7 linked regions of the Xenopus tropicalis genome follow. Each later gene encodes a partner of the first gene's protein in a complex. Links are inferred from orthologs where the notes say so. Each region holds a gene or a part of one and is shown in the gene's direction. Other genes may lie near its edges. The genes, in order: med16, med12, med13l, med18, med26, med7 and med25.

Region 1 (4,593 bases):
CACCTAGTGACACAATGCAGACATTGTTAATATAATATGGAAGAGAAAATACAGAAATAAAAAAGTAACTATAGTATAATGAAAAATAATGTGAGGAAAACAATTACATTGATACCGTCTCTTCTTAAGAAAAATCTGTGGCCCTGCAAGGGATTTTTACAACCCATGGTCTGCTCAATATCTCCATTGACTTCTTTGTAGATACACTGTGTATCTCATCCCACAACAAGTGGGATGAGACACAGTGAAATCTCACTTTTACATTCCCTGATTTTGCCATATTTCACATTTCCACAATCATTTTTTGGAGGGGTCTGGCGCACACAGGTACCTGGCCACCACCCTGGCAAATATTAAGCAGCGGGCACCCTTAACTTTATCAATGAGAGTGACTATAGAGCAGGGGTGGGCAAACTTTTTGGGTCAGGGGCCACATTGACTAACAGACGGGCCGGACCGGGCCGGGACAGCGTTACGCCCGGGGCTGCCATCAAAAATTATGGGGCCTCTCAGCTCCCCCCCAGCATCCTTCATGACCTGCGGCTCCCTCCGCCAGCGACCCGCTGCTTCCTCCGTCCCGTCCTTCTGTTCCCCGGCTCCCCAGTGCATTCTTTTATATGGTTGCGCCCCGTGTGTGCTGACGCTATGCGCATGCATGGGGCGCAACCAATCAGGGCCCGTCATTCTTTTAAGGGGGCCGGAGACAGCGGGCCATAGTTTGCCCACCCCTGCTATAGAGGAACCAGACCCTATGGTCCAGGCTGCCCCTGGTGCCCCCCCCCCAACCATGGTGTCTGCTTCCTCTATAGTTACACCACTGACTGTAGGAAGAAACCATCTTCACAGCATAATAAAGGGGGGAACTAAAGATTTTTAGTTTTTAAATCATAATCCTGTGTGTGTGTAAATCTATATATATATATATATATATATATATACACAAACACACACACTGTTCACAAATACACATTTTTTATTAGATGAGTGGAGAATATATATATATTAAATTAAAATAGTCCCAAATTACATTTATTTCCAAAGTAAAGTGTGAGCAAAATGTAAATGTAAAAATAGAAAGGTTTATTACTCAACGATTGGGTCTCACACAGAAGCCTTCATCTGGAGTGAAAAACAAACTAAATACATATATATATATATAAATATACATGGTTTGTTTTTCACTCCAATATCCATTTGATAAGATAAGTGCAAAATATGGAACGCTTCACGAATTTGCGTGTCATCCTTGCGCAGGGGCCATGCTAATCTTCTCTGTATCGTTCCAATTTTAGTATATGTGCTGCCGAAGCGAGCACAAACATACCTTAGCGCCGGTTCTTATTTAAAGCCCCTAGCTTTTGATTCGGTTATATTGGAGTGACAATTTTGTATGTCTATATGTATATTTACACCGAGCAGCAATAAATATTACTTGATATTGTTTTATTTACTGGGTACATGAAAAACAGAAGAGAAAGATTGAATTTATAGCTGCAATTTAGGCATTTGCCACGATGCACGCCGGGAGAGGTCGGCATGCTAATCTAAGGATGACGCCATCGGAAAGCGACATTGAGACGCTTATTCCGTGAGACGCACTAATGTAGCCGGGAACTTTCATTACTGGTTTTACGTAGAACCTTGTTATCCTACGGGATTCTGGAACCAGCAGTAACCAGAGCAGTTTAGTAGCAAATCCCCTACGCAAGGTTCTAGCATATTTTCGCTTTTTGACGCTTCTTGTCGTCCGCCTTCGTTTCTTATAGCTGCAGTCAGTCAGTCCATTCCCAATGTAAGCCATTGTGTTTCTGTTCCCCCGATCTGTAGCCCTTCTCCCATAGTTAGTAGGTGCGTGTTTGCTGTCAGCATGGATGTGGGGTACGTATGTGAGTGGGACAAAAGACCACGGACCAGTCACTGCCCATCAATCCCACTAGTTTGCGCTTGGTCTTGCCGCAATCTTATTGCTTTCACTACAGATCAGCGCAATGAGGAGGAGAAAGGTAACATCTTTTTGTTATTACAGCACCGCTCTGTGAGTGTGATTATATGTGTGTGTATTTCTATTATTTAGTAACTGTTATATGTCTACTTTTCTCTCTCTATCTATAATGCATAAAACAATTAAAAGACAAACCAAAATGAGTCTTACCCAGTGTTGGACTGGATACCAGGAGAACTCATGGTGGGCCCAGGTGTCAGTCTCCTGCTCCTGATCATTTGGCCTGTTTCATGGTCATTCCCTATTTCTGAATGGGAAGAAAGTCAAGAATTAGATGGAAGAATAGATGCTATGTAAATAAAAGAGACTTGGAGAATAAAGTGGTTGGGTGGGGAAGGAGGACAAATAATTTGGAAAGTGGGTCTAAGGTTTTCTTGTGGGTCCCTGGGTTCCCAGTCCAAAGCTGGTCTTACCAAAGAGCTTGGATTGCTTGGATTACATTTTTATATTACCATGTTTAAAATGAACTAGGTTAGTATATTAAGGGTATTTGGGTCACTAGAATGCATAGAATGCAGATAGATGCATAGACGCAGATAAAAAATTAAAGCATCTGAATCTATAGGCATACACATTACGGTTAGGCAATGCCTTTTACATTACATTAACATTTATTTATAAAGCGCCAACATATTCTGCAGCGATGTACAATAAGTGGGTTACATACATTGGACATACAGAGTAACATATAAAGCAATCAATAACCGATACAAGAGGTGAAGAGGGCCCTGCCCAAAAGAGCTTACAATCTACAAGGAGAAAGGGTTGAGACACAATGCCTTGCACCAATATAAAAATAGAAAGTATTGCTTGTAGTGGAAGCGTGGCAGCTTGAGACCTAGGTGCACAAATTCAGACCCAGGAATGTGTTACTGCAATAAATTCTACTTTTTATTTAATGTCATTCTGTGCCACTTTGTATTGTGGGGAAAAAAAATTCTGCACCTTACCCCCCCTTAGTAAATAATCCCTGCCAGCAGGCTCAGACTGCCAGTCTGTGGGTTCTGGCAAATGCCAGAGGGACTGCTGAAAGATGCCATAGACAGTGACTGTGTAGTAGAGCGCTAGTTGGGGGCTATTTGAGCTTTTGTGTGCTGAAAATGCTAGGGCCTATTTTAAATCTCAGTCCAGAGCTGCCTACTAGAATGTTAAGTGAAGAAGTGTGTATTCTCTCACAATAGTTGGGTCGTGTGAGCTGTAAGAAAAGTGCTTGTTACTGAAAAAATGCTAAACAATTGGCTGTAGTTAGCCCTCCTTCCCACCCCCATTCATTTACCTTATGAAATTTACATTGAAGTGCAAAGAGTTCATCTGTCTTCTATTATCTTTCTAAAAAGTTCAACTGTACTCAAAATCAGGCGTTTTACAATGCACAAATTTAAGTATATATTTTATGCTCTCATTGAATATATTCTTATTCGTTAAAGCAAGTATAATTTGACCATGGAGAGTTGCAACATTGCATAATTCTCACCAGATTGTTTGTTTTCCAGGGTTTTGATAAATTAAAAAGTGTTTTTACAGGAATATGGATAAATCTGAAATAACTTGATTTTTTTTCTTCTCAGATATCACTAATTTGATCCATATCCTCGACACAGAACATCCGTGGGATGTCTACTCTATTAACTCTGGGCACCAGGAAGTTATTACCAGCTTGGAGTGGGACCAATCTGGTACAGTAAAACAAATTGCTGGGCTTTTTGATAATAAACAAGAAAACCATATAACTTAAAAGGGAAGGGCAGAGAGCAAAGGGAAATATGAAGAAACAAGATAAATGTGGGAAGCAGAAAATGAATCCTTGAAGGGACATAGACAGTAGTGTTTGTAACTGTTGCTTTGGTTTTATTGGTATTTTTAGGTTCCCGCCTGCTCTCAGCTGATGCAGATGGTCGAATCAAATGCTGGGGAATGACTGATCACTTAGCAAACAGCTGGCAGAGTCTTGTAGGCAGCGAAGTGGATGGAGATCCCATAGTAGCTCTGTCTTGGTTGCACAATGGAGTCAAACTTGCTCTCCATGTTGAGAAGGTGGGTGAGATAACAATGAATATTTACATTAGTATTTATATTTAGTTGTTTGTATGCTCTTTTCTTTCACTTCACTTCACTTTGCTTATCCTTTTTGTTGTTAAGCAGAGACCATTATTTCTTTTGTCCCCTAACCATTATTTCCCTTTAAGTAGGCATTTACCACCCTTAATACTGATCTTTTTTCTCCTGCAGTCTGGTGTTTCCAGTTTTGGAGAAAAGTTCTCACGCGTGAAGTTTTCCCCATCTCTTACTTTGTTTGGTGGAAAGCCAATGGAGGGTTGGATTGCAGTCACAGTCAGTGGTTTAGTTACAGTGTCTCTGCTAAAGCCCAATGGACAGGTGCTAACAGCTACAGAAAGCCTGTGCCGACTACGTTGTCGTGTGGCACTTGCAGACATTGCATTTACTGGTGGTGGAAACATTGTTGTGGCCACATGTGATGGGAGCAGCACATCCCCAGTACAGTTCTACAAAGTTTGTGTTTCTGTAGTAAGTGAAAAGTGCAAAATCGACACAGAGATACTTCCTTCTCTCTTTATGCGCTGTACAACTGA
Region 2 (3,965 bases), on another chromosome or scaffold:
ATTCTCCGTACCAGAAAATAAAAACAAACAGGTAAGTAGATCCTAGCTAAAGTTTTGTAAAATCCTACCAAGCCAGGCTTGGCTTCATGCACTGTGGACATAGCATAATGTGAGACTTTCTAGCCAGTCTGTAATTCTCCGTACTAGAAATTCTCACATTATGCTATGTTCACAGTGCATGAAGCCAAGCCTGGCCTGGTAGGATTTTACAAAACTTAAGATAGGATCTGCCCAACCCAATTTAAGTTTGGCTTTAAGTTCCAGTTCCTGGCTTGTGGCCAGGATTGTGCTAGAGATGCCCCGTACTTAACTGGAGATGAACTCCCCTACCCAGAGAACAGAAATAATTTGCTATTTGGAAAACCAGGGAAAACAAAATGTGCTAGTGCCTTATGTTAGAAAATGAGCTAAAAACTTCTTTTAGTGAATCTTGTTAATTATATTTTTGTTGCAGGAATGGGTTGGAGAGCGCTGTGTGCGTTCCCTGTGCGAGGACTCTAATGATCTACAGGACCCTGTTCTGAGCAGTGCTCAGGCTCAGCGCCTCATGCAGCTTATCTGTTACCCACACAGACTGAATGATACCGAGCAGGGAGATAATCCACAGAGGCAGCGAATCAAACACATCTTGCAGGTGAGTATGGATCTAAGGTAATATAACAGAAACCAAACGATACTGAGCACAAAAATAAAGGATAGAGAAATTGTGCTTCTGTTTTATTCATGGTAAAGGGATAACCAGAGAACCCTGTATTTATTCTGTTCTCATTCCTGTTGTTCCTGCATCTTTTGCTGCCATTCACCTTTAATTCCTTGCACAGTTGAACCTTATTTTTATTTTTCCCAACAGAACCTGGATCAGTGGACAATGCGTCAGTCAGCACTGGAATTGCAGCTAATGATTAAACAGACACCAAGCAATGTAAGGAGTGTCATTCTGTTAGGGGCCTATGGGGAACATAGTATTTGCAAGTTTTTTTTAAATAATTTTTTTATGGCTATACTTTGTCAGTGGAACATGTGACACAATGAACTATGACTTTGACATAGTATCACTTAGCCACAATCTGTTACATTTTAAAAATAATGTTTCTTTGCTTTCAAAAACTTTTTATGAATTGACCAAAAGTTTGTAAAAGCAATTTTATTTTAAAAATGTAACACATTGCAATGGAAACATTTGCATCCATACTTGTTTCACAATCAGTGGCTTGCAATATAATATTTCACCAATAGAGGTTGCTGTGTAAACACTGTACACAGTATTAATATATGGTCATAAGCAGCTTTCAGTAGCTTGGAAAAAGACTGGTGTTGGTCTGAAAAATTGCTAGTGCCCAGGTCAGGGAACCGTTACTTCAATAAAGGCTTTTAAGAAGATATTGCCTCATTGGTACTGTCTGGTCAAAGAATATTGGATGATCAGATGGATGTGGGTGTTATGTGACTTGCACCAAATATCAAATATATTGTCTTAAAGGTGCTGATCAAAAATTTGCTGTGACAACTAAAGTTTTAGCCAAGAATGTGTGATGTTGGGCAATATCTTATACACTAGTGTTACCCATAATATCTGAGGAACTGTGAATGTTTTTTTCCCTATTCTTGGGGGACACAGCAACTGCACTTGGGCAATTAATGTCTAAATCTTGATTGTTACCAACAGGAAATGAATTCTTTATTAGAAAATATTGCTAAAGCCACAATTGAAGTATTCCAGCAATCGGCCGAGAATGCCTGCGCAGCCCCCGCCAATAGTGCTGCCCTGAGCAATGCTACCTCCAGCAACGCTCCTCCCAACAGCAAGACAAAACCAGTACTCAGGCAAGTGATGCTTCTGTTGTGGTCTATTACTCTATGGCTTTGTTTACCTTTCATATTATTCATTAGCAATAACTAAAAAATCCTTGTCAATGCAGTTCTTTAGAGCGGTCTGGGGCTTGGCTTGTGGCCCCTCTCATTGCAAAGCTGCCTACATCAGTTCAAGGTCATGTGCTAAAAGCAGCAGGGGAGGAGCTAGAGAAGGGCCAACACCTAGGATCTTCTTCTCGCAAGGAACGTGACCGTCAGAAGCAGAAAAGGTGAGTAGATTGTGAATGGCAAAGGAAGACCAGTTGGGGAGTTCTTATTGAGAGCAATACGTAAGGGTGATATGAATGTATAGGAAATGTTTGTTCAGTCACCTGATAAAAGGCTGAGGTTGTTTCCTTTTCCTTATGTTGCTTGTGTTATATATTCTTATGTCTGTGCCTTGCAGTATGTCCTTGCTAAGTCAGCAGCCATTTTTGTCACTGGTATTGACCTGCCTAAAGGGACAGGATGAGCAGCGGGAGGGGCTTCTGACATCACTCTATGGCCAGGTGCAACAGGTAGGTTGGGTAACAGTCCCTTTATGTTTTTCTCTTACCAACACCACCCACTATCACTTTTTCCACAGCTTTTAACCTTCATACATTTGAATTGCTTTTGAATCACTGTCCTTTTAAATCCAAACCCTCCCACTTCAGATTGTTAGCAACTGGCGGGAAGATCAGTATCAGGACGACTGCAAAACTCCTCAGCTGCTGCATGATGTATTGAAACTGAGGCTTAACCTGGTAAGTAAGAGAAAGAAATATAAAGCAGAGGATGAAGTGTGATAAATGAATTATGTTTCTTAGCAATAGAAGTCCCTACAAGAATGCAGCGGAAAATGCAGGTGAATTTATCCTTTATTACTGACATCTTCCCTGTCCTCAATTTCCTTTCTAGGTTGGTGGGATGTTTGATACAGTTCAGCGCAGCACTCAGCAAACCACTGAATGGGCTGTTCTTCTGCTGGACATTATCAGCAGTGGTACAGTGGATATGCAGTCAAACAAGTAACGTATACACACTCTTTGTGCCTCTTCATCTGTACTTGTTTGCTTTGCCCACTGATTCCCATAATCAGTTTGTTTTCTCTTCCTTAGCCTTAGATTTAAATAGCTAAAAAAAGAAAAAAAAAATCAGGATTTTGCTAATCAGGCTGTTTTGTTAGGGAAAAATCAGAATTCAGTGACAAATCCTAGCCAATCCCTCTATAAACTATAAATCCTGTGATTAAAGCAGGCATAGAGTATCAATTTGACATTGCATTTTTATACCTCTTAAAGGAGAAGGAAAGGGTTAATCATTGGGGTGTGTCCAAATGTTAGGCACCCTTATTGAAATTACAGTAGCTTACTCAAATCCACAGGTCAGTGCTTCTGTTAGCAGTGCTCACTGAAAAGTACCCCCATTGATGTACCCTTTCCCTCTTGTTCAGTAAAGGAGGAAAGAACCTTTTAAAGTTACCCTTTGTGCTGTTTTATTTAAAAATCCGGCTGCTTTCCCATGGTGTGCACCAGTTGGCAGCACTAAAGGTTGCCAGCCAATGCCCATTGATAAGCAAGTAGCCAGCAGTGAGGTGGGTCATATTTATATGTGACACCAACAAATTGACATTCAGTACCATGTATTGTATATGACTACTCATCATCAGCTGTTTGTAATCTCATCTTTATGTTGCTTTGCAGCGAGCTCTTCACGACTGTCCTAGACATGCTCAGTGTTCTGATCAACGGAACTCTGGCAGCTGATATGTCCAGTATATCTCAGGGGAGCATGGAAGAGAATAAAAGGGCATACATGAACTTAGTAAAGAAACTGCGGGTAAGGGATTCTATGCATGCCTTTTTTCCTATTTGTATAGAAACAACCACATCTCTTCTAATCTCTTCTTTCTATGTTTCCTGTAGAAAGAGCTGGGTGATCGTCAGTCTGAGAGTCTAGAAAAGGTTCGTCAGCTCCTTCCTCTCCCCAAGCAGACTCGGGATGTAATAACTTGCGAGCCACAGGGATCTCTTATTGATACCAAAGGCAACAAGATTGCAGGTTTTGATTCTATTTTCAAAAAGGAGGTGAGTGCTTTAAGCTTTAAGTCTTGCTGTGCAATGCATGACCTT
Region 3 (3,965 bases), about 45 Mb from region 1:
AGAAACGTCTTGTGAGGAGATGGATAACCAAGCAAGGCTCCAGCTATTTGCACAGACCTGCCGCCAGCATCTTGGTGAGCCAGATAACTTCCCATCTGCATACTGCACCAGATTTAGTTTTTGTCCATTATTCTTTATTTTTTTGATAAAACAGTTTGTGAGGTTCTCTCGCTGTTTTCCAACCCACTGTAAAAACCAGCTTGATCTTTGTTTTAATAATGGTCCAGGTTATTTATTTTTTTAGAGGTGTGGGGCTGTAAAAACCAGCTTGATCTTTGTTTTAATAATGGTCCAGGTTATTTATTTTTTTTTAGAGGTGTGGGGCAGAGGCTGGTTTCAGGCAATTTGAGTGCCATGTTATATATAGGCAACAAAAACCTGACAAGCACTTGTGAGGTGATTCAAATACAATTACAGTTTTGGGACCGGTTATCCAGAATGCTTGGGACCTGGGGTTTTCAGCATAAGGGGTCTTTCTGTAACTTAGATTTGTACTAAAAAAATAATTTAAACATTATTTAAACCCACCAATATGGATTAATAATTAGTCGCTATCAAGTACAAGGTACTGTACATTAAAAATTTTTAACTATTTGCTTAAAATGGAGTCTATGGGAGACTGCCTTCCCGTAAATCTGAGCTTTCTGAATAACAGGTTTCCAGATAACTCTGATCCCATACCTGCACCTTGTAACAGTATATGTGTTTGTTAATATAATGCCACAGAATACCGATCACCTTTTTTCTCTAATATTTAGAAAGGATATTTCTGACCTTTTGCCGCTCACCATCAGCAGGTGATGGAGGGGAAAGGGGGTTGAGTTTGACTAAAGGTGTGAACCACTCTCACTCCACCATGTGATAATGTAAAAAAAATTTTTGTCGGTGGGCTGACTCCTTAACATTATGCCATTTGTTATACTATTGTGAACTAGCACATTAAGCAAAAGTGGACCGTTTGTAGTTTGTTAAAATAAAGTACTGTGGGCAAATTCATTGCTTCTTTTTCAGCGTTTTGGATAATGGGTTTCTGAATAATAGATCCCATAGTTGTAATTTGTAGTTACTATAACTCTTTTAATAAACACGAGAGGAAAATAAAAAGTCACAATTGCTGTTTATTATATGCGCTGTACAAAAGGGATTAGCTGGAACCTTACATTGATGTTATGACATGGATGTGTAAGTTTTGCTAATGCCCATTGTCTTTTTCTGTTTTAGCTCCTTACTTATCCACATTGCAACTAGACAGCAGCCTGTTATTACCTCCTAAGAACCAGCCACCTACGGTACAAACCAGCTCAAGCCCAGCTGTGCCGTCTTGTCCTACTGGTGTTCTTTTTAACACCACTCCTAATGGCACAAGTACTACTCCTTTACCACCACCACCTCTATCCTCCTCCACATCTCTTCCTGCTGGAAACAGCACAGTACCCACTGGGTTCAATAACTGCCCATCACAGAACACTTCAAGTATTGTGGAGCGACCATTAGGAAACCAGACCACAGGAGACCCAGAGCCTAGCCAGCAGTCCATGCAGCAAGAGACCCCAGAAAAGTAAGTACAGATGCTGTATTAAAATGAAATTAAATATTTGACTTCTTGCCCAACACAACAGCAGTTATATGAAAAACCTGGTAGTCAGTTCTTAGAAGGGGATATGGAAAACAAAAAAAGAAGCTTTGTAAGAACTGTAAAAATGTACTTTTGAAACTGGGTGAGAGAACACTGACATTTCCACTGCAGTCAGTAAGTCAGACAATTCACTCCTGTACCTAGAGATTCATACACATTAGGCATCACTAAATTATTGCTGACATATATATGCATGTTTATGTGTCTTCACTTTGGGCCTGATTAGCAGTAGCAGCAAAAAGCTTTTAAGGCTTTCTATGCAGTATCCCACATGACTCCAAAGACAGTAGCATGTTTCAGCAGAAATTGCCCTTATCCTTTCCCGCTTAGATTACTGCAATCTCCTACTAACTTGCCTCCCAGACTCCCACCTCTCTCCCCTGCAATCAATCTTAAACTCTGCTGCCAGGATCCTTCTGCTCTCTCCAAAGAGGGAACCTGTTCAGCCTCACTTAAGCTCTCTTGCATGGCTGCCTGTTAAGCAAAGGATTGCTTACAAAATCCTAACATTCAAAGCCCTTCACTCCTTTGCTCCTCGCTACATTTCTTCACTGGTCTCCCTGCATGTTCCTGGTCGTCACCTCCGCTCCTCTCAGAGCCTCCGTCTTTTTACACCATTCACACCCACTGCGCTCTCTCGTCTTAAACCTTTCTGTCTTGCTGCTCCTTACCTCTGGAACTCTATCCCTGAATCCCTCCATAGGGAACTCTCACCCACTCTCTTTAAGAAAAAGCTCAGCTGTTACCTTCTGGAGCACTAAAACATTTTGCCTAGTCCTGCGCTTAAGGGAAAATGCCCATACCTGGTGCACTCTTACCTTCCAATTTGTGCTTGTATGTTACCCAACCACTTAGATTGTAAGCTCTACGGGGCAGGTACCTCCTTCCTACTGTGTCTCATACCACATGGCACTTATTCCCTGTGCATTTATATATTTATTGTATTTATTTATTATATCACTTGTCCTCCTTCTGTGTAATTCTGTGTATTGTAAGATTGTACAGCGCTGCGTACCCTTTTGGGTCTTTATAAATAAAGTTATACATACATACATGTATTCGTTTTTAGTATTTTTGTATTGCTTATTTTTTCTTTTATATGCACTGTAAATAGACTTTTTTAATAATAATATTAGTAAAATCCTGTCAAATATTTTTATGATTCAAAGGATATTTTGCTTTGTTTAATTTAGAAGGATTTTTAAACATATAATATACAGCTTGTATTGTCTCTTTTACATTAACAGTGCCACTGAGCGGGAGAAAATTGGCATTCCCACAGAACCAGAACCAGCTGGAGCACTCAGTTCTTGTCCAACAGTAGTTATATACATGGTGGATCCATTTACATACACAGTGGATGAAGACTGCCACCCTGGGAACTACTGGATGCTTGGCCTGATCAGATGTTTTACTGACATGCTGGAGAGTTTACCAGAGCCACTTCGATCAGCTTGCATACTTCAGGTAAACATTGTTTGTTTTTTATGTGTGTTACCATAACCTTTATGTGCTTTTCACATAGAGCTTTTATAAGACTTTTCTCAAGACTTGAATCGCGCTTGCTTGCAGTGACACTTATAATATAGGGGGGTGGTGGCAAAGAAATGATTATTATTTAAAAGATCTGTATACAGTGGCACCCATATTGTACGGCAACTTTGTCGACATTTTACTATTTTCCCAGGCAACTGTCAGCAGACATAGACACGCAGATGTGTCGAGTAAAACTGTTCGTATTGTACTCTACTGCTCATGCATGAGTCTAAGTTTGTGCCAGGGACACCTGGGAATAGCAAGTAAAATGGTGGAGCTTTGCTACTTTTTTCCCTGGGCTGGTGCTTCTCTTATTTTTCCTAAAAAGAGCACTAGCCTGGGGAAAAAACTTACTGACTGAATTCACTTGGGGGTCTACCATAAATGTTTAGCATCCTTGTATTTAATTAAAAATTTGTGGTCATCAACAATATCTTACCCTACTCTCTTTTTCAGGTGGTTCCCTGCCATTCTCTTCTGCAGACTGTAAATGATGAAGTGGTCTCCTACATTCAGCACTTGAAGTCTTTAGCTTTTTCTGTATACTGCCAGTGCCGGCGACCCATAGCCACACAAATACCCATCAAGCCTCTCACTGGCTTTGGTCCAGCAGCCGCTCTAAATGCAATACTCAGGAATCAAGAGGTGATTATTTTAGAAACTGCTTGATGCATGTACAGTGATTATTTTTAAACCACAAATATCTGCAAAAACAAACACAAATATGTGCAGTAACCCACTAAAACCAGTTTTTGTTTGGTTTCTACTAGAAGTTGGAAAATAAAAATAAATG
Region 4 (4,198 bases), on another chromosome or scaffold:
GAAAAGATAAACTCTGTAGAATACAATGGCATTTTATCTGTTATCCGCTAAGTAACCTGGGCCTTTTCTCATTCAAATGGCTGCCCCCATGGCTACACAGCAGCTTTGTTTATATAAACTATAATAGTCTTTCTGAGGCAAACCCACCAGTTACACCAGTGCAGGGTAACAGTACATTATATTGTTATTGCTTTTATACGCTTTCATATTTTGAGGTTACTGTTCCTTTAATAACACTACTTGTTAACTCAAATACTTCTTGCCAGTACTTTTGTATTTTAGGGCAGTTCCACCAGGTGTGCACGAGTCCCTTCCTGTCCACATTTTCTCCAGCACATTTTAGTGGCTGTTTGTGAGACTATTCTTTAATTTTTCATGCATACACCCATTTATTTTACAATGCTGTGGAATATGTAGTTGTTTTATTAATACATGCAATAATTATAACAATTTAAAAAACATGACATTAAGTATGATTTAGTATATATTTTTTTATTTTTTTTACACGTTCTGACCTATATCTGTGTACACTAGACATTTGTTGGTACATTAGTTGGGCAGGTTTGCTAATTTAATATAACAACACACCATATCCACCAGTGCTGGGTGCATCAACTGATAAATTAGTGAATAAGAGCTGCAGCTCCTGTTATTGCTGTCCCAAACAAACAGAACAACAGAAAGTTGCACATGCCCTGGACAGTATGTATGTGTTCAGATACTGCATTGCATTGACATGTCTATGGTCACACTAAGCCATGATGTACACACCCAGCTATTTCAACAACACCAGAAAAGGCTCTCTATTCCTGCTTTAGAGTCATTTCTAGTTATCTGAAAATACTAAAGTTCATACTCTATGTAAATAGAATAGGTTGGCAAAATGTTTTGTATAAGGATTTCATCCACTTACAAATAAGTTTTATTGCAGAGAAACCAGTTTTCTCGAGCAGGTGTATGTATTTCTTTTTATAGTGCCTGTGCCCCAGGGTAAAAATAGCTTTACAACAGAAAGGTACATAATAAATCAAACAAATAAGTAAATGCACATACATATTACCTTACAAATGATTTCTAGAATCTTGTAGGTGGAAGAACACAATTTTGATATCTGCAGAAAGCTTATTGATTGATGCATCTGATTTTGTAAATAATTTAGAAGTTCAAAAAATGTTAAACTGTGAAAGATCAACTTTTATAGCCACTCATGCAGCACCCGTTTTTTTTGTATCACAAGTTAAAGGGGCAATCTAGTTAATGTATTTAAATAGGCAAGGAAAGGTTAATTCACTGGAGGTGCCAATATGTTGGGGCTCCTAGTGTATTAAATAGGTAAATTTGTTTTAACTCACCAACCCCCATATGTAAGAAGAGGCACTCGGTAGCTCAGGAGCAGTAACCCATAGAAAGCAATAAGATGTTTGCTTTTAATCGGGTAACCAGTATATTCTACCTGCTGATTGGTTGCCTTTCCACCGGCAGCAATAGGAGTCGCCAGGTGGAAAAGTCTATGCATCACTTCAGCTTTCCAAAGTCGCACAAAGTTGCCTGCAGGATGTGTAGCCTTAAGGTTCTTTTCCCACCTTGCTCCTTCAAATCTATTTATCCTTTTTTGCACCTTTCTGTACAACATTATTTCTATAGGTACATTTTTTACCAAAACTCTCCTGACACCTAACCTCTCATTCTGAAACCAAGGGTGTTAGTATAGTATCAAAGGTTGGTTTTCTCTGCTTTATTCAAATAGCTGTAACTCATTTTAATAAGTTAACCTCTCTGCTACATTGCCACCCAGCTACTAGAATGGCTAGAATTTGACTCCTAAAAAGAATTTGCACTTTAAATTCCAGCAGCGACCCCTGTCACAGAAGCAAGAGCACTTGTTTGTATTATGACTGCAAAGCTCAGAAGGATAGCAGGCAATTACATGGTGGTACAAACCAGCAATGCTGTCTGGTTACAGGGTTCTGCTGGAATTTCAAGTGTTAAGATGCTATTTGGGCTGTGCCATTGGCACCCTTGGACTTTAGACTGAAGCTGACAGTTGAAGTACAAAGGATAAGAAGTGGTGGCATGTTTTCTGGCAATTAAAAAAGATACGTTTTTCTTTTGTTCAATTTTATAATGTGCTAAATGCAATGTCGCAAAGTTGTTTCTGTCCATTTATTTCCCATTTAAACTGCCACAGGGTAGGCAGCACAGTCAAGAATGTCATCATACCTTGGTTTGCTTTTATGTATGTATGTATGTATTTACATACATTTTACTGGAACTAGGGGCCCTAGTCCTAAAAAACAGCCCCAGACCATTGTTCCTCCACCAAACTTTTATAGTAGGTATTATGAATTATTGCAGAAAGCATTTAATTGGTATTCACCAAACAAAGACCTGTTGGTCAGATTGCCAGATTACCAGAGGTAAACTGCAAATTGAGAATTAGTTTCCACTGCTCCAGTAGCATTGAATCCTAAACCATATAGCCAAAACTTTCCATGGTTTTGCCATTAACAAAACAGTTTTTCTTGCTTAATCACTTTTTGGAAGCCTAATTAACTTTAGCAGTAACTGTTATCACATATTAAAGCCTTTAATTTTTTTTTTTTCAGGTAGTATTCTTGACCAGGGTCTAGAGAGCCTCCTCCATCGTTTACGTGGTTTATGTGACAATATGGAACCTGAGACATTTGCAGATCATGAGAGTGTCTACCTTCTCAAGGGTCAGCAGGCCAGCCCCTTTGTGCTACGAGCACGTCGCCCTTTGGATCGGCCAGGTGCTCCATGGCACCTTAGGTATCTGGGTCAGCCTGAGGCTGGAGACAGAAGCCGCCACACGCTAGTGCGTAATTGTGTTGACATTGCCACCTCAGATGTTCTTCCTGAATTTCTGCAGGAGATGGGCTTTCGTATGGACCATGAGTTTGTGGCACGCGGCCACTTGTTCAGGAAAGGGGTTATGAAGGTGGCAGTGTACAAGGTGTTTCGGGTGTTGGTAGCAGGAGCAGCAGAGGGTGCTGAACCCTTGTCACTTTCATACCTTGTAGAGCTTAGTGCAGTGGCGCCAGCTGGTCAAGACAATATAGCTGATGAAGTCAGGGGGTTTGCAGAACAGCTCAGACCACTCGTGCAGCTGGAGAAAATAGACCCTAAACGTCTGATGTAAAGGGGACATTCCAAAAAACAAGACTCAAGATTGTGTGTTTCTGGTGAAAACCGTTTACACTGCCATAATTCATTGGTTTTTCTCATGAGCTGAGATGGCATGAAATTCCTCTTGACTGTAAAGGGACCAATGTCAAGTTCTGCTGGTTTCATTGTGACACAGAACAGCATCTGCCACTGTATTGTGCAGACCAGAAATAGAATGATCTGTTTTATTATTAAATTTGTTTTATTTTTCCTGTTGTGTTCAGTATTGTCCTCCTGACCTGCAAATTTAAAACATTTTTACACATATTTACTTTGAAAGATCCATGTAATTTTTAGCTTTTTTTACTTATCATTTTTTCAGGCACTCCCCTATTGATCTCCCATTCTGATAGTCAAACTGCTGCCTGGTTGCTAGGGTAGTTAAGCTCTAGTAACCAGATAGCAATTGAATTTCAAAGCATGAGAGTTGCAAAAAAAATAAAAAATTAAGTCTGTCACATTGTACTTGAAAGCGGATATCTACATAATAATTTTTAGGTCTATGGCACATGTTGGGATTAGTTGCCTGCGATAAATCTGCTCTACCCTGTGGTGACTAATCTTCTGAAATAGCTTTCCCATTGACAATAATGTAGATTCTCTTGCAATCATACACACAGCTGCTAAGCTTGAGTTGCCTGTTACGGTTTATGATGTTACCAATTTATTATTACTTAAAGGAGAAGGAAAGGCAAAGTCACTTGGGGGTGCCAAAATGTTAGGCACCCCCAAGTGACCTTGTACCCCGGGCTGGTGCCCCTGTTGCTGCAGCACTTCCTGCTTCGCGCGCGCATGCGCAGTAGAGTGAAAAAGCTGAACTTAAACAGAGAAGTCGCTTTTCACTCTACTGTGCATGCGCCCGGCCCTTGGAATTTGCCGGCAAAACGAAGCAGGAAGGAGGAAGCGCTCGCTACAGGTACCCTGGGCTGGTGCTGTTTTCTCTTAACAGGGGCACCAGCCTGGGGTACAAGGTAAGCGATTAAAGTCACTTGGTAGCGCTTTATAAATAAAG
Region 5 (4,601 bases), about 11 Mb from region 1:
GGTCTGCTTGTTGGAACCAAGGACCCCAAATTCATCCTCCTCCACCACCAAACTGACTTAACATTATATAAACAGGCACTTCATCTGGCATCCACCAAACACAGTATTTCAACGCAAGTTATTGCCATACCTTTTACACTTCTTTCTAAACTCCTACACTGGTGGTGCAGATCTTCCTACATGGTTGGCACTTCTCAATTCAGCAGACAGTGACAGTACTTAAGAGACACTTGGAATCCTAAATAGACTGGCACAAAACCGGATTTTTGAAGCAGATGGTGATGCAGTTAAAAATGATGAATTTATTTAGTAACAAGACCTCTCAAAAGGACAAGCCGTATGCATTTTGTACCTTATGGGGCACTTAATCATTAGCCTATGATTAAGTGCCCCATAAGGCACCAAACGTGTAAGACGTGTCCTTTTGAGAGGTCTTGTTACTACATAAATTCATCATTTTAACTGCATCACCATCTGCTTCAACAGTCCAGTCTTATGCCAGCCTTATTTGAAATCCAAGTGTGTCTATCACTTCCCCTGAGCTGAAGGTCTGGGGCTTGAGCACCCGGACCTCAAGAAACTGTTGGTGAGTTCTACCTTAATATATTGCATTTTTTCAATATTCATACATCAATAAGTTTTTAAGACCCAAACACAAAAACCAAGTTTTATGCAGATGGGAAGCTTACCAATTTTATTTTGACCACCTGTGCATCAACGATATCCACGAATACCATTGTACACTATAGCGCTAATGTCTCCTTGTTGAAACCAAGAATACTAACCCAAAACAATAATTATCCCCTGATCACTAGTCCTACACCAAACTAAGTTGTCTGGAACCCACCACCCCAGAAATGACTGCTTGACTGCCATATGTGAAGATGATTCATCATTTCAGAGAACCCATTTCCAGCTCCCTGCTGTCCAGTGTTATACAGCTTTACACAACAACTGGCAATGCATGGCACTCTACATGGTGATATTTAGCTTGTGTGCAGCTACTAATATTTCTTGTACTGATATAGGTTCCAGAGACAGTTTGGAACTCAGTAGAGAATGAAAAAACTGGTAATGAATATGTTTTAGAGGGCTACGTAGAACGTCTGCCTCTCCATATTTTCTGAATCTAACCTTTGTCTCTGAGATAAGGTTACAAGACAAACTAAATAAAACAAAACCCAGACAATTCTAACATATGCAGGTTGCAGGGCTGAAATAAGTGTAACCTGATTTCACTTGAATATATGGCAATATGTGTAGCACTTCTAGCTAACTTTTCTAAACAAACGTTCGATTCTTTTTCCTGCAAACTTACTCGTATGACTTATGAACTACAACTCCCAGAATTCCACAAAGAGTTCCATAGTAGTTCATAACGACCCACGGGTCGCTCTGTTTCAGTGTCGCTGACTGAGGTGATGTAGTTAAATAAGCCCCTCCTTCCAGCTAGGCTTATAGTCTACTGCACAAAAGTTGCAGGGTAGACAACAGTGTTTATTTTAAGTGATGCATCTTGCCTAGTAACAACTCAGGTGCCTAAAGGCTAGCAGGCGCACGGGCTGCCCCCTCTCTCCATGGATACCGAAGACGAATGACAGCTTTAAGTCGTGTCTGACACTTCCTACTGAGGGGGAAGATGAGAGACGTTCGTGCGTGACGTACGTGCTACCTAGGGGGACTGTGACGCCAGGACGCCGCTACCGTCACGTCACAAAGCGTGCAGCGGCGGACTTCCCGGCGTGCCTCGGGACTCCCGGTCGCTCGACTCCATCGGGAGAGACGCGTCTGGGAGTCTCCGGCTTTCTCGCTTCTTCGCTGCTCTCCCTGCGCCCGGGAACTCGTGTTCCTTCCTCCCAGGGAACATGCCGCGCCGCCCTCCGCAGTGATCCCCGGACTGAGGCCATGACAGCCGCTCCGGTAACCCCGCGGGAGATCAGGGAGAGGCTGCTGCAGGCCATCGATACGCAAAGCAACGTGAGTCAGGGGGGACAGGGAGTGGAAAGAGCGCAACACGGGGTTTCGGCACTTGATGAAACCCTCTGAACCAGCAGTGAGAAGCTAGACTAGGGACGACCGGGAAAGGGCTGACGGAGAGTGACTGGAGGCTGCTGTGACACTATCCCTTGATTATGGGTGGTTGGTGGCTAAGGGCTGGGGAAAAGAGAGGTGTCGTTACTCTGGAATGCACTTTTTGGCTCCAGGTTATTAGTTGAGGGTCACATGAGGCTGGGAAAGACCGAGTCCCCTGGAGCCAGAACGTGCAAGAGCCTTAGGGTGGTGGAGGCAGTGGCACTGACCATGCCGGGAGCTGAGAAGCCCACAGTGGAGTGCTATAGGTAAGGCAGAGCTCGATAGGAACAGCTAGTTGAGAGCCCCTTCTCTGTGGGTAGGTGAGAGACGAGTATAAAGCCTGAGAGCTGAGCAGGAAGTGGGCAACTGGGGAATGGAGGATTATGGGTCCCGGCGTTTATCTGGGGTTGCAGTCCTTTGTAGCAGGGACCCCTGGCGCTTGTTTTAGGCCATCTCGCGTTCTTAATCCGACTCTGTATATTCGAGCACATCCGTCCTTACTTTGTAGGCGAGGTCGGGGATAGGGCCTAGTCGCGGCCTTAAGTTAGCAGACTGCCCTTGTAGGCACCGGCACATGTCAGACTGCTGGCTAGGCTTGCGATGCCCGAGTCGGTGGGACTGCCAAAACACACTCCTTTGGCATATTCTTATGTTCCTGGCAGTGCAGATGTGTGCTTGTGGGGACAGGGTGCATTTATCTCATGTTGTTGGCATTACTCTGGTGTGGGCAGGCGGTGTGCTTGTTAAACTGAGAGATCTGTTCTCAAAGAAACAGAACAGGGAAAGTTCAGAATGCTATTTATTGTATTTCATTTAGAGATTTGTCATGGGTCCTTATGTGACCGATTTATCTTTGACTGAAGTGTATGGCATTTATAACTGCATTATATACAGACCTGTTGTTGTATGTGCTGTTATATTTGAGGTGTAACAACTCCCACAAATTAGAAGGCCAAGTAATTTGCAGTCAGCAATACAATTTATTGGTATGTCTCAAATTTGTAAAAGCTTTCACTGTTGTTTACAGTATATAATCTACTGCACTTTCTATCTTCTCTTGATACTTATTTTAGCATTGGCAGGATGCGTCGGCACCTATAGAGTTTAATTCTGCAAAGCACTTATGTAGCAAAAGTTTGAAGTACATTGCAGGATAAGATTTGTAACCATTATTAACATGTATCTATAAAGCATAATCTCTTTGTAAACAACTTCTGAAGTTTGAGGGTTTTTTTTACTGAAGCCTTTACTATAAAGAGTGAACACTACTATTAAATTGATAATAATCTATTGCTGAAAACCTACTTTCAGTTATAGCTTTAAATACATGTGTATTTCCTGTATCACTGGAGATATACAGCTTGTACATTTAGAAAGGATTTGGACCTTTTAATGCCAGAAGCATCTCAAAGTTATTTTGGGGTGAGGGACACATGGGTATGTACATACTGAATTAATTTGTGTCTTTAATGCTGACACATACCTTCTGAAAGTCTGTATTTGGTAGCTGTACTTTTGAAAGGCCTGTGTCTGCATGGGAATTTTTAAGCTGTAGGTAAACAAAAGCACATGTAAAAATAGATTTAGGCAACTGTGATAAAGGATCCTGGTTTCCAGAAAAGCATATATTGTTTAGGTTGGGTATGCTTTATATTAGAATTGATTTGTAATTTTTTAATATCTCACAAATAGTTAAATATTTATTGCGCTGTATTACACAGGTGTGAAAAATAACAACTAAAGGTGCTGAGCAGTACAGAGCTAGGGCTCTTTGATAGATGCATTAGAGGAAGGTACTTGTAAGTGTTGTTCCTTTCTTTCAGTAACCACTTTTGGGAGTGTTCGGGAAAAAAATCAGTAAATCGCTACACCTTTGGCTTTAGGTATAGTAGTAGCCCTATTGTAATCAGTTTGTTAGCCTGCAGAATTGTTCAGCAATTTTTAACCCTGGTTGCTACTTTGACCCTTTTAATGTTTTTGCATTTTCACTGGAGAACTCCTTATGAATCTCATATGATGTTATTGTGTAGTGCACAACATGTTTTAGAATAACGGGTTCTAAATGAAGAATCTGTTAATCCGAAAGACACTGTACACTACACCATAAAATTATTATAAACTGTCACAGTTAAGAGTTTTTTTTGTTTTTTTTTTTTATTTTAAACCCATAGAATAACTGAAAGATGAGATGTTACTTGTTCATGCTTTTTGAGAACAAGCATGCTGTTTTGTGTTTGGATTTTTTTCTGTATAGAGGCATTGCTTATGGCTTACTTTTTTTTTTCCTTATAGCTTATGAGGCACCTAGGTGACCTGTTCATACCTATGGTATGGGTTATGCTTTTATGCTGTTTCTTAAAGGGGTTTTTCACAGTTAAGTTAACTTTTAATATGATGTAGAGTGATATTCTGAGACAATTTGCAATTGGTCTTAATTTTTTTTTTTTATTTGTAGTTCTTTAGTTATTACATTTTTAGTTTAGGAGCTCTCCAGGTTGGAGTTGCAGCAGCTATTTGGTTGCTAAGGT
Region 6 (3,699 bases), on another chromosome or scaffold:
GTGTGTGCAGTATACATATATATATATATATATATATATATATATAATACCTTTCGGTCCACACTCCCATTAAACACACTTACTCCATACTTGATTGCAGGGTGCTGCACCTGGTTGTAGCTTGTATTCATTACAATTGATGATGCGCACTCCTGTATTTTTTTTAGTTCATTTATTGTTACATTATAAAGTTAAAAACATCAACGTTTCGGACCAGGTCTAGGACCTTTATCAAGATGTTAAGCCATAAAAAGTCACACACATAATGAGTCTTTATATAATACAAAATGCCTAACCCCGCCCACATTGAGCAGAGCCCCAACCCCAAATTGTGAATTAAAGAAAACACATCAGTACAATTAATTAATTGTAATAGTGTTTATTAATTGTACTGATATGTTTTCTTTAATTCACAATTTGTGTATTTTATTACATTAACATTTATTTATAAAGCGCCAACATATTCCGCAGCGCTGTACAATAAGTGGGTTACATACATTGGACATACAGAGTAACATATAAAGCAATCAATAACCAATACAAGAGGTGAAGAGAGCCCTGCCCAAAAGAGCTTACAATCTACAAGGAGAAAGGGTTGAGACACAAGGTGTGGGAATGGGCATGGCCAGAGTTGTGAGAGGTGTGGCACAGGGTATTGCTAAACTAGATTAGGGTAAGCCTCTCTAAATAAGTGTGTTTTTAGAGATCTCTTGAAGGCAGAGAGATTGGGAGAAAGTCTGACAGTTTGTGGGAGCGAATTCCAGAGAAGGGGGGCAGCCCTTGCAAAGTCTTGAATGCGAGCGTGTGAGGAGGGAATGAGAGAGGAGTTGAGGAGCAGGTCAGTATGTGCTATACAGGATACCTCGTTTCGTACGATAATCGGTGCGTGTATGGCATGTCGGCGAGTCGACCGATATCGCAGGAATCTGCTGATATCGGCCGACTCGCCGATCGGACCAGTTTGAAAATTTTGATCGGGCGCCATAGAAGGCGCCTGACCAAAATTCTCCCTTCAGAGCTGAATCGGCAGAAGGAGGTAAAAATCCTATTGTTTCTACCTTCTTACCTGCCGATTCAGCCTTGAAAGGTGTGTGGCGGATCTGACAATGTTTCGTGCGACCGATGGTCGTACGAAACATCGTCAGATCGCCACGTGTATGGCCAGCTTAAGGGTTGTGAAATGGGGTTGGGGCTATGCTCAATGTGGGCGGGGTTAGGCATTTTGTATTATATAAAGACTCATTATGTGTGTGACTTTTTATGGCTTAACATCTTGATAAAGGTCCTAGACCTGGACCGAAACGTTGATGTTTTTAACTTTATAATGTAACAATAAATGAACTAAAAAAATACAGGAGTGCGCATCATCAATTGGAATGCATATATATATATATATGTGCTGCACACACAGGGATTTATATTGTTATTTGTATGTAACTGAATGGGCTTTTTCTTTCTGTGTCACAGGTTCTCCTACTCACTTCATAATGGGGGAGCCTCAGCAGGTCAGCGCTTTGCCTATACCTCCCATGCAGTACATTAAGGAGTACACAGATGAAAACATCCGCAAGGGCCTGGCCCCCAAGCCTCCCCTCCCCATAAAGGACAGCTACATGATGTTTGGCAACCAGTTTCAGTGTGATGACCTTATTATCCGCCCTCTGGAAACTCAGGGCATCGAGAGGCTCCACCCCATGCAGTTCGACCATAAGAAGGAGCTGAGGAAGCTCCTTATGTCCATCCTGGTCAACTTTCTGGATATGTTGGACATCCTGATCCGAAGCCCAGGCAGCATCCGAAGGGAGGAGAAACTGGAGGACCTAAAGTTGTTATTTGTTCACATGCACCACCTTATTAATGAGTACAGGCCCCACCAGGCACGTGAGACCCTGCGGGTGATGATGGAGGTGCAGAAACGTCAGCGGCTGGAAACGGCAGAGAGGTTCCAGAAACATCTAGAGCGAGTGGTGGAGATGATCCAGAACTGTCTGGCATCGCTACCCAATGACCTCCCTCTTTCTGATGGCGCAGTCAGTGTAAAAACTGAACCAATGGATGTTCGGGAACCCTGTACGGACCATCATGCGGGGCCCCAGGAGGCAGCAGCAGCTTCTCTGAAAGAGACCACAATTGATAAGGATGCAGCTATGTGTGTTATCATCGATGAAATGACCTAGTCCAATAAGCAGTTCTAATCAGGACTCTTGAACTTTAGAAGTCACAAGGATTCATTGAAATGCAATAGCATGGCTCTATGTGTTGGTTGTATTCATCATGGGACTTGGCAAGGAAAATGTTTGTCCCAAGGGAACTCAGTCACAGCTATTGCTCATGTACATGTCTGTTTATTGTGCTTTTCTGCCATGCTTTTGAAAAGGCAGTATGCAAGAAGGCTAATATTTTTCAGTGTTTTCCCTGCCAGTTCATGTGTATGAGGAATGGAAGGTTGTAGTTCTGCAACACCTGGGTGGTAACTGCTTATTTGTGATTAAACAGACAAAGGACTGGGGTCAGACTTTTGAATGTTATCTAACTGATATACTATGTATGGAATCTACTCATTGCAAGTTATGTTTGTACAGTTATTCACATGTTCTGAGATATCAAAGTTTATTTAAAAGTTAATATTACAATTGTTTGTATCTTTTTCTCTCTGAATTGGAATATTTTAGTCTCAGATTGGTTTGGAGCATGAAAATCCCAAAATGGGTGCTGTTATCTGTTATAGGAGAAGTCCATATTTTGAAATGCTCGCCTTTACAGTTTATCATGTTTATTTACTTTAATATTTGTATTACTGCATTATAGTTTTAACCCTCTGTCACTTCTAGCATCTTTCCTATTAATTATCCACCTCCATTAAGGATGCTGTGTGCATTCACATTACATGCAAGCTTTCTATCTCCCCTGTGTCAGCCTTTGTGACAAAGCAAGGGTTAAATGACTGTGCTTAGGTTGGGATCAAATTCATGAATGGTAGCAATGAATATACATTTTATCATGATAGGAGGATGCTATGCTGCACTGTAAATAACAACACACTGTGAGCACTAAGGTGCAGGGACAAGAGCTGCTATACAGAAACAAAAACATGAGTACCAGGATCTGTGCATTTACAACATTCCATCCTCATTCTGATTGGTAGAATGGATATGTTTAAGTAAGCTCCACCCTGCAGTCTACAGATGCTGGCCAAAATATTTGGAAGGTAAACTTGTTGGCTGCCCCAGCCAGTTGTTATTTTCAGAAGGGTGGTGCTGTGGGCACCTAGGCCTTATTTCCTAAGGAGGTTGGTGAGATTACAGGAATCCCCATCAGTTGCAGGACAGGTGGCACTTACCAGCCTCTTTCTCATGGTCAGACCCCTGTACCTGTAGAAAAAAAAATACAACAAAAGGAGGAGGGCTGTGAAGCAAAATTTTTAGATCCTGCTACCCTTTAATATCTGTAGTTCATAGGAGCCAACTATGACTGCTTCAACAAAGGCTCCATATAGACAAGTGGGGTCATTTATAAACACTGGGCAAATTGACAGCTGGGCAGTAACCCATAGCAACCAATCAGATTGTTCAACTTGCAGCTGGCTGAAAAAAACTGTTCACTGATTGGTTGCTATGGGTTACAGCCCAAGTGCATATGTGCCCAGTGTTTATAAATGCACCTGAGGAAGGCTGTTTAGCCGAAACATGTAGTGCTTAA
Region 7 (3,264 bases), on another chromosome or scaffold:
TATATATAAAAATGCATCATCCAGGGAGAGGGAGAGAATCCCCCATGAGTAAATGCCACATGTTCCACAGCTGTTTCCTCACAATAGTGGCAATGGGGGTTATGTTACAAAAGGTGCTACGTTTGCCCATGAGCAGTAACCTATAGCAACCAATCAGCGGGCAGAATTTACTGGTTACCTGTTAAAGGCAAACATCATATTGGTTGCTATGGGTTACTGTGCCTGGCCAAACTTAGTGCTTTTTCTTTCTTGTCTGTAAAAAAAATGTTGTTCTGGTCCAAGGCGTGAACATTTGAGCAAGTCACTAAGACAGAACCATTGTACAAGAACTAAATATCCATTTCGTTGTTCTGTTTTACAGCCACAGACCAGTGTCCCACAAACACAGCAGCCTTTGCACCATATGCAGCAAGCGGCTCAGGGCATGCTTCCCCATCAGGCCATGGGCCAACAGATGCAGCACCAGGCTCCCGGCCAGCAGCAACTCCAACTCCCGGGGCAAACACTTATGCACCAAGCCCCCGCGCAGCAATGGGGGAACCAGATGCAACAGAGAGCACCAATTCCAGGTGAGGAGGTTTCACACCAGGGGAAACGGCAGTAGCAAGAGTGGCAATAATTGGTCCAGGCAGGTCACTTCACACTGTTGCCCACTCACAGTTTGCATTGCCCTTTAAACAGACACCCTGAGAAATTCATTTACAGCAGGCTAGGGGTTTTATGATCCCCAAGGAGTGGCTCAGGGGCAACATTTTGCTCCCCAACCCCTTGGATGTTGCTCTCAGTGCCCCCTGACTTGGGGGCAAGTTTTGGTTGAATAAAAACAAGCTTTCCTACCAAATAAAGCCCCCTGTAAGCTGATAGGGTGCATAGAGGCTGCCTAATAGCCAATCACAGCCCTTATTTGACTCCTCCATGAACTTTTATGGTGCTTGTGTTGCTTTTCACGTCTGTTTACATTTGACTGTGGCTCACAACAACAGTTGAGGACCACTGGCCTATACTAATACTTGTATCTTATTTTGATCCTTATATCATCTCATCGTTGGGAGGTATACATATAGGATTCTATTTTCTTCATCTCCTTGTTTCATTTTGTACAACACAAAGTAAATCCTGCAGGTCTGACCACTTTAAAAGCTTCCTGTATATATTACCCATCATTCTTTGTGAACCCACCATTGACCATACTGTACAGGTGTTCTAGATTATATAAGTGACCGAGAAACACCCTAACCTGAGGTCTTTATCATTAATTAGTGCTTTTTAAATGATAAATAAACCTTTATAAAATAAGTAAATGTAAAATTATTCTAAGCACTTTTGCAATTTACATTAATTTTTTTATTCCAAGATATTAAGGGAAATGTGTACTGTTAATACAAATGAATTTTGCAACAAAGGCACCACCTGTTGGTCAGTTTCCGACCATGATGTCACCAAGGAAGTTGTCAGGCGAAAGAAAGAGGGCTGCTCTGATGTTCTTCTGCTTAGGAAAGGTCATCTGAGGTTTCTAATGATTTTCCTAAGCAGAAGAACATCAAACCAACCCCTCTTTCTTTCTCCTGACAACTTTCTTGACTGGATCATGGACAGAAACTGACCAGTAGGTGGTGCTGTGTAACAAAATTCATTTATATTGACATTAATGTTTGGTTTCAAAAAGGTAAATGATACCTGCTGGATGGCTGTTGTGGGTAACTATCAGACTTTGGGGCATATTTATTATAGTGTATTGGCTTATACACTATAAAAATAATCCCCTTAGTGTAGACTTGCAAGACATTTATTTCATTGTGCTGCATATTTCACAGGGAATTTCCTTCATAAACCTTCAGGAATTGGCCTGAATGGTCATTGTGTGCATTCCGTTGCTATGGTATTACTATAAAACAATCCCTATCATACTAAGGTATAAAGGTTCAGAAGCCTGAAGCAGTCTGTTTGACACTTGTGCTTTGTTTTTCTGCTTTAGGGACACTGATGATGAGCGCGGGACCTCGAGGCCCTGTCCCTCAGCAAGGCCTACAGCAAGTGCAGGCTCAGAGTGTCATGGAAGACGACATCCTAATGGACCTTATTTGAGGATAAGCTAAGGAAATGAGACTCTACTGCCTCCAAAATGATATGAATCCTGCAGGATTTTTCTGAATTCATCAGCTATGAATCACCTCTTGTCATTTCCTCGCCTTCTTGATTTATTAACCGACAGTAGCCTAAATAGGAATTCATAGGGCGTGTTCAGACTCATCTGGTCAGAGTCGCTAAACTGTTGAAAGCTGCTTGGCCTCCTGGTTCCTGTGTCGGCAGTTTGGTCCCCATACAGGTGGGTATAGAACTCTATCCTCACTGGTGCTTATATTTACCGGTGGGATTGGTCCCTGTTTCCAGGAAGTCACGGACAACTAACTGAACTGCTTCAGTTTTGACCATTGTTGACTCACACGTCCTTTTTACAACACGTAGCAGACTTTTCTTTTGTTATATTGTAAAATGAGCTTTTACAGGTATAAAATAAGATATGCCATGAAAAAAAAAAATAAAAAAACGTTTTAGAAAATCCATTGTGGTCATTTTAGCCCATAGTGAAGTATCGCTCCAGTAAGTCGTCTCACAGTGTATGGGAGGGTACTGCCTGGGGTTATGGATTACAATCAATACAAGAAATGAAAGGGATATACAATATTGCTAGTTACCTAGCTGTCTGAAACATATGTATGTAACACAGGGCAATATTTTATCTGCATGTGTGGTCGACTGGTATTCTACTGCTGTCATAGTTAATGTGCCAAGAAGCCACCACTCTGTTGTGCATTTATTGATACCGAAGAGCCAGAAATCTTATCCTAAAGCAGTTTTCTGCCTTCCCTGGATTCTGCACGTCTTTTAAAAGGAAGCTTCAGTGCCATAAAGCGTGAGTTAATCGCTGTGATTGGACAAGTATATTTACCTCTTTAATGAAGATCGAACTGGAGGGTTCCAACCTGGTACAGACCAACTGTTTCACAGACTTGTTTGTATGATGTCTCTATTGCCTAGCCTTATGGTATCTCTGTGTACAGGATATGTTAATACCTAGGGAGTTGCCATATATGACCGTGTACAGCTGCCCATGGCTCATTGACCATCAGATCCACCCTATCCTGGCTTCTACCAATCATAAAACCAACCAAAGACCGGAGTAGAGAGGATGAACAAATTTGTCCACAAACCCCATGGTTGGTTTGTTGGTTTGTTGGTTGGTTGGTTAGTTACCATTAATAA

The links.
Region 2: med16 (region 1) and med12 share a complex: the UniProt entries of both Homo sapiens proteins name them as parts of the mediator complex. The link is inferred for Xenopus tropicalis from reciprocal best matches to the Homo sapiens genes MED16 and MED12.
Region 3: med16 (region 1) and med13l share a complex: the UniProt entries of both Homo sapiens proteins name them as parts of the mediator complex. The link is inferred for Xenopus tropicalis from reciprocal best matches to the Homo sapiens genes MED16 and MED13L.
Region 4: med16 (region 1) and med18 share a complex: the UniProt entries of both Homo sapiens proteins name them as parts of the mediator complex. The link is inferred for Xenopus tropicalis from reciprocal best matches to the Homo sapiens genes MED16 and MED18.
Region 5: med16 (region 1) and med26 share a complex: the UniProt entries of both Homo sapiens proteins name them as parts of the mediator complex. The link is inferred for Xenopus tropicalis from reciprocal best matches to the Homo sapiens genes MED16 and MED26.
Region 6: med16 (region 1) and med7 share a complex: the UniProt entries of both Homo sapiens proteins name them as parts of the mediator complex. The link is inferred for Xenopus tropicalis from reciprocal best matches to the Homo sapiens genes MED16 and MED7.
Region 7: the proteins of med16 (region 1) and med25 are in contact, whole or in part, in a cryo-EM structure (PDB 7EMF), measured with the Homo sapiens proteins. The link is inferred for Xenopus tropicalis from reciprocal best matches to the Homo sapiens genes MED16 and MED25. Residues at the interface, in NP_005472.2 of Homo sapiens: Cys41, Arg42, Ser92, Ser94, His113, Arg161, Lys163, Phe171, Gly172, Gly173, Lys174, Pro195, Gly485, Tyr486, Ala516, Ala517, Gln520, Val521, Thr524, Arg525, Ile554, Ala555, Ser558, Lys561, Ser562, Leu563, Leu564, Arg565, Pro566, His567; in NP_112235.2 of Homo sapiens: Ala26, Asn27, Gly29, Pro30, Tyr31, Val74, Asp75, Cys76, Ala77, Pro78, Glu79, Val82, Cys84, His85, Pro87, Lys102, Phe103, Met104, Gly105, Gly106, Gly107, Gly108, Glu109, Thr120, Gln123, Leu124, Asp127, Phe128, Tyr151, Leu152.

What each region holds. Positions count from the first base shown.
Region 1 is NC_030677.2:100,791,679-100,796,271, forward strand, and holds the start of med16 (mediator of RNA polymerase II transcription subunit 16), read left to right. Parts: upstream 1-1,555; 5' UTR 1,556-1,867; coding exon 1,868-2,003; intron 2,004-3,570; coding exon 3,571-3,678; intron 3,679-3,866; coding exon 3,867-4,036; intron 4,037-4,231; coding exon 4,232-4,593. UniProt on the Homo sapiens protein: Component of the Mediator complex, a coactivator involved in the regulated transcription of nearly all RNA polymerase II-dependent genes.
Region 2 is NC_030684.2:44,420,224-44,424,188, forward strand, and holds part of med12 (mediator of RNA polymerase II transcription subunit 12), read left to right. Parts: intron 1-454; coding exon 455-634; intron 635-850; coding exon 851-922; intron 923-1,666; coding exon 1,667-1,824; intron 1,825-1,919; coding exon 1,920-2,081; intron 2,082-2,257; coding exon 2,258-2,369; intron 2,370-2,507; coding exon 2,508-2,597; intron 2,598-2,751; coding exon 2,752-2,861; intron 2,862-3,536; coding exon 3,537-3,672; intron 3,673-3,758; coding exon 3,759-3,920; intron 3,921-3,965. UniProt on the Homo sapiens protein: Component of the Mediator complex, a coactivator involved in the regulated transcription of nearly all RNA polymerase II-dependent genes.
Region 3 is NC_030677.2:145,408,426-145,412,390, forward strand, and holds part of med13l (mediator of RNA polymerase II transcription subunit 13-like), read left to right. Parts: coding exon 1-74; intron 75-1,221; coding exon 1,222-1,558; intron 1,559-2,883; coding exon 2,884-3,103; intron 3,104-3,628; coding exon 3,629-3,817; intron 3,818-3,965. UniProt on the Homo sapiens protein: Component of the Mediator complex, a coactivator involved in the regulated transcription of nearly all RNA polymerase II-dependent genes.
Region 4 is NC_030678.2:78,270,587-78,274,784, forward strand, and holds the end of med18 (mediator of RNA polymerase II transcription subunit 18), read left to right. Parts: intron 1-2,606; coding exon 2,607-3,160; 3' UTR 3,161-3,397; downstream 3,398-4,198. UniProt on the Homo sapiens protein: Component of the Mediator complex, a coactivator involved in the regulated transcription of nearly all RNA polymerase II-dependent genes.
Region 5 is NC_030677.2:112,238,780-112,243,380, forward strand, and holds the start of med26 (mediator of RNA polymerase II transcription subunit 26), read left to right. Parts: upstream 1-1,760; 5' UTR 1,761-1,905; coding exon 1,906-1,977; intron 1,978-4,601. UniProt on the Homo sapiens protein: Component of the Mediator complex, a coactivator involved in the regulated transcription of nearly all RNA polymerase II-dependent genes.
Region 6 is NC_030679.2:14,184,035-14,187,733, forward strand, and holds med7 (mediator of RNA polymerase II transcription subunit 7), read left to right. Parts: upstream 1-1,456; 5' UTR 1,457-1,487; coding exon 1,488-2,177; 3' UTR 2,178-2,824; downstream 2,825-3,699. UniProt on the Homo sapiens protein: Component of the Mediator complex, a coactivator involved in the regulated transcription of nearly all RNA polymerase II-dependent genes.
Region 7 is NC_030683.2:117,441,691-117,444,954, reverse strand, and holds the end of med25 (mediator of RNA polymerase II transcription subunit 25), read left to right. Parts: intron 1-361; coding exon 362-569; intron 570-1,975; coding exon 1,976-2,085; 3' UTR 2,086-2,560; downstream 2,561-3,264. UniProt on the Homo sapiens protein: Component of the Mediator complex, a coactivator involved in the regulated transcription of nearly all RNA polymerase II-dependent genes.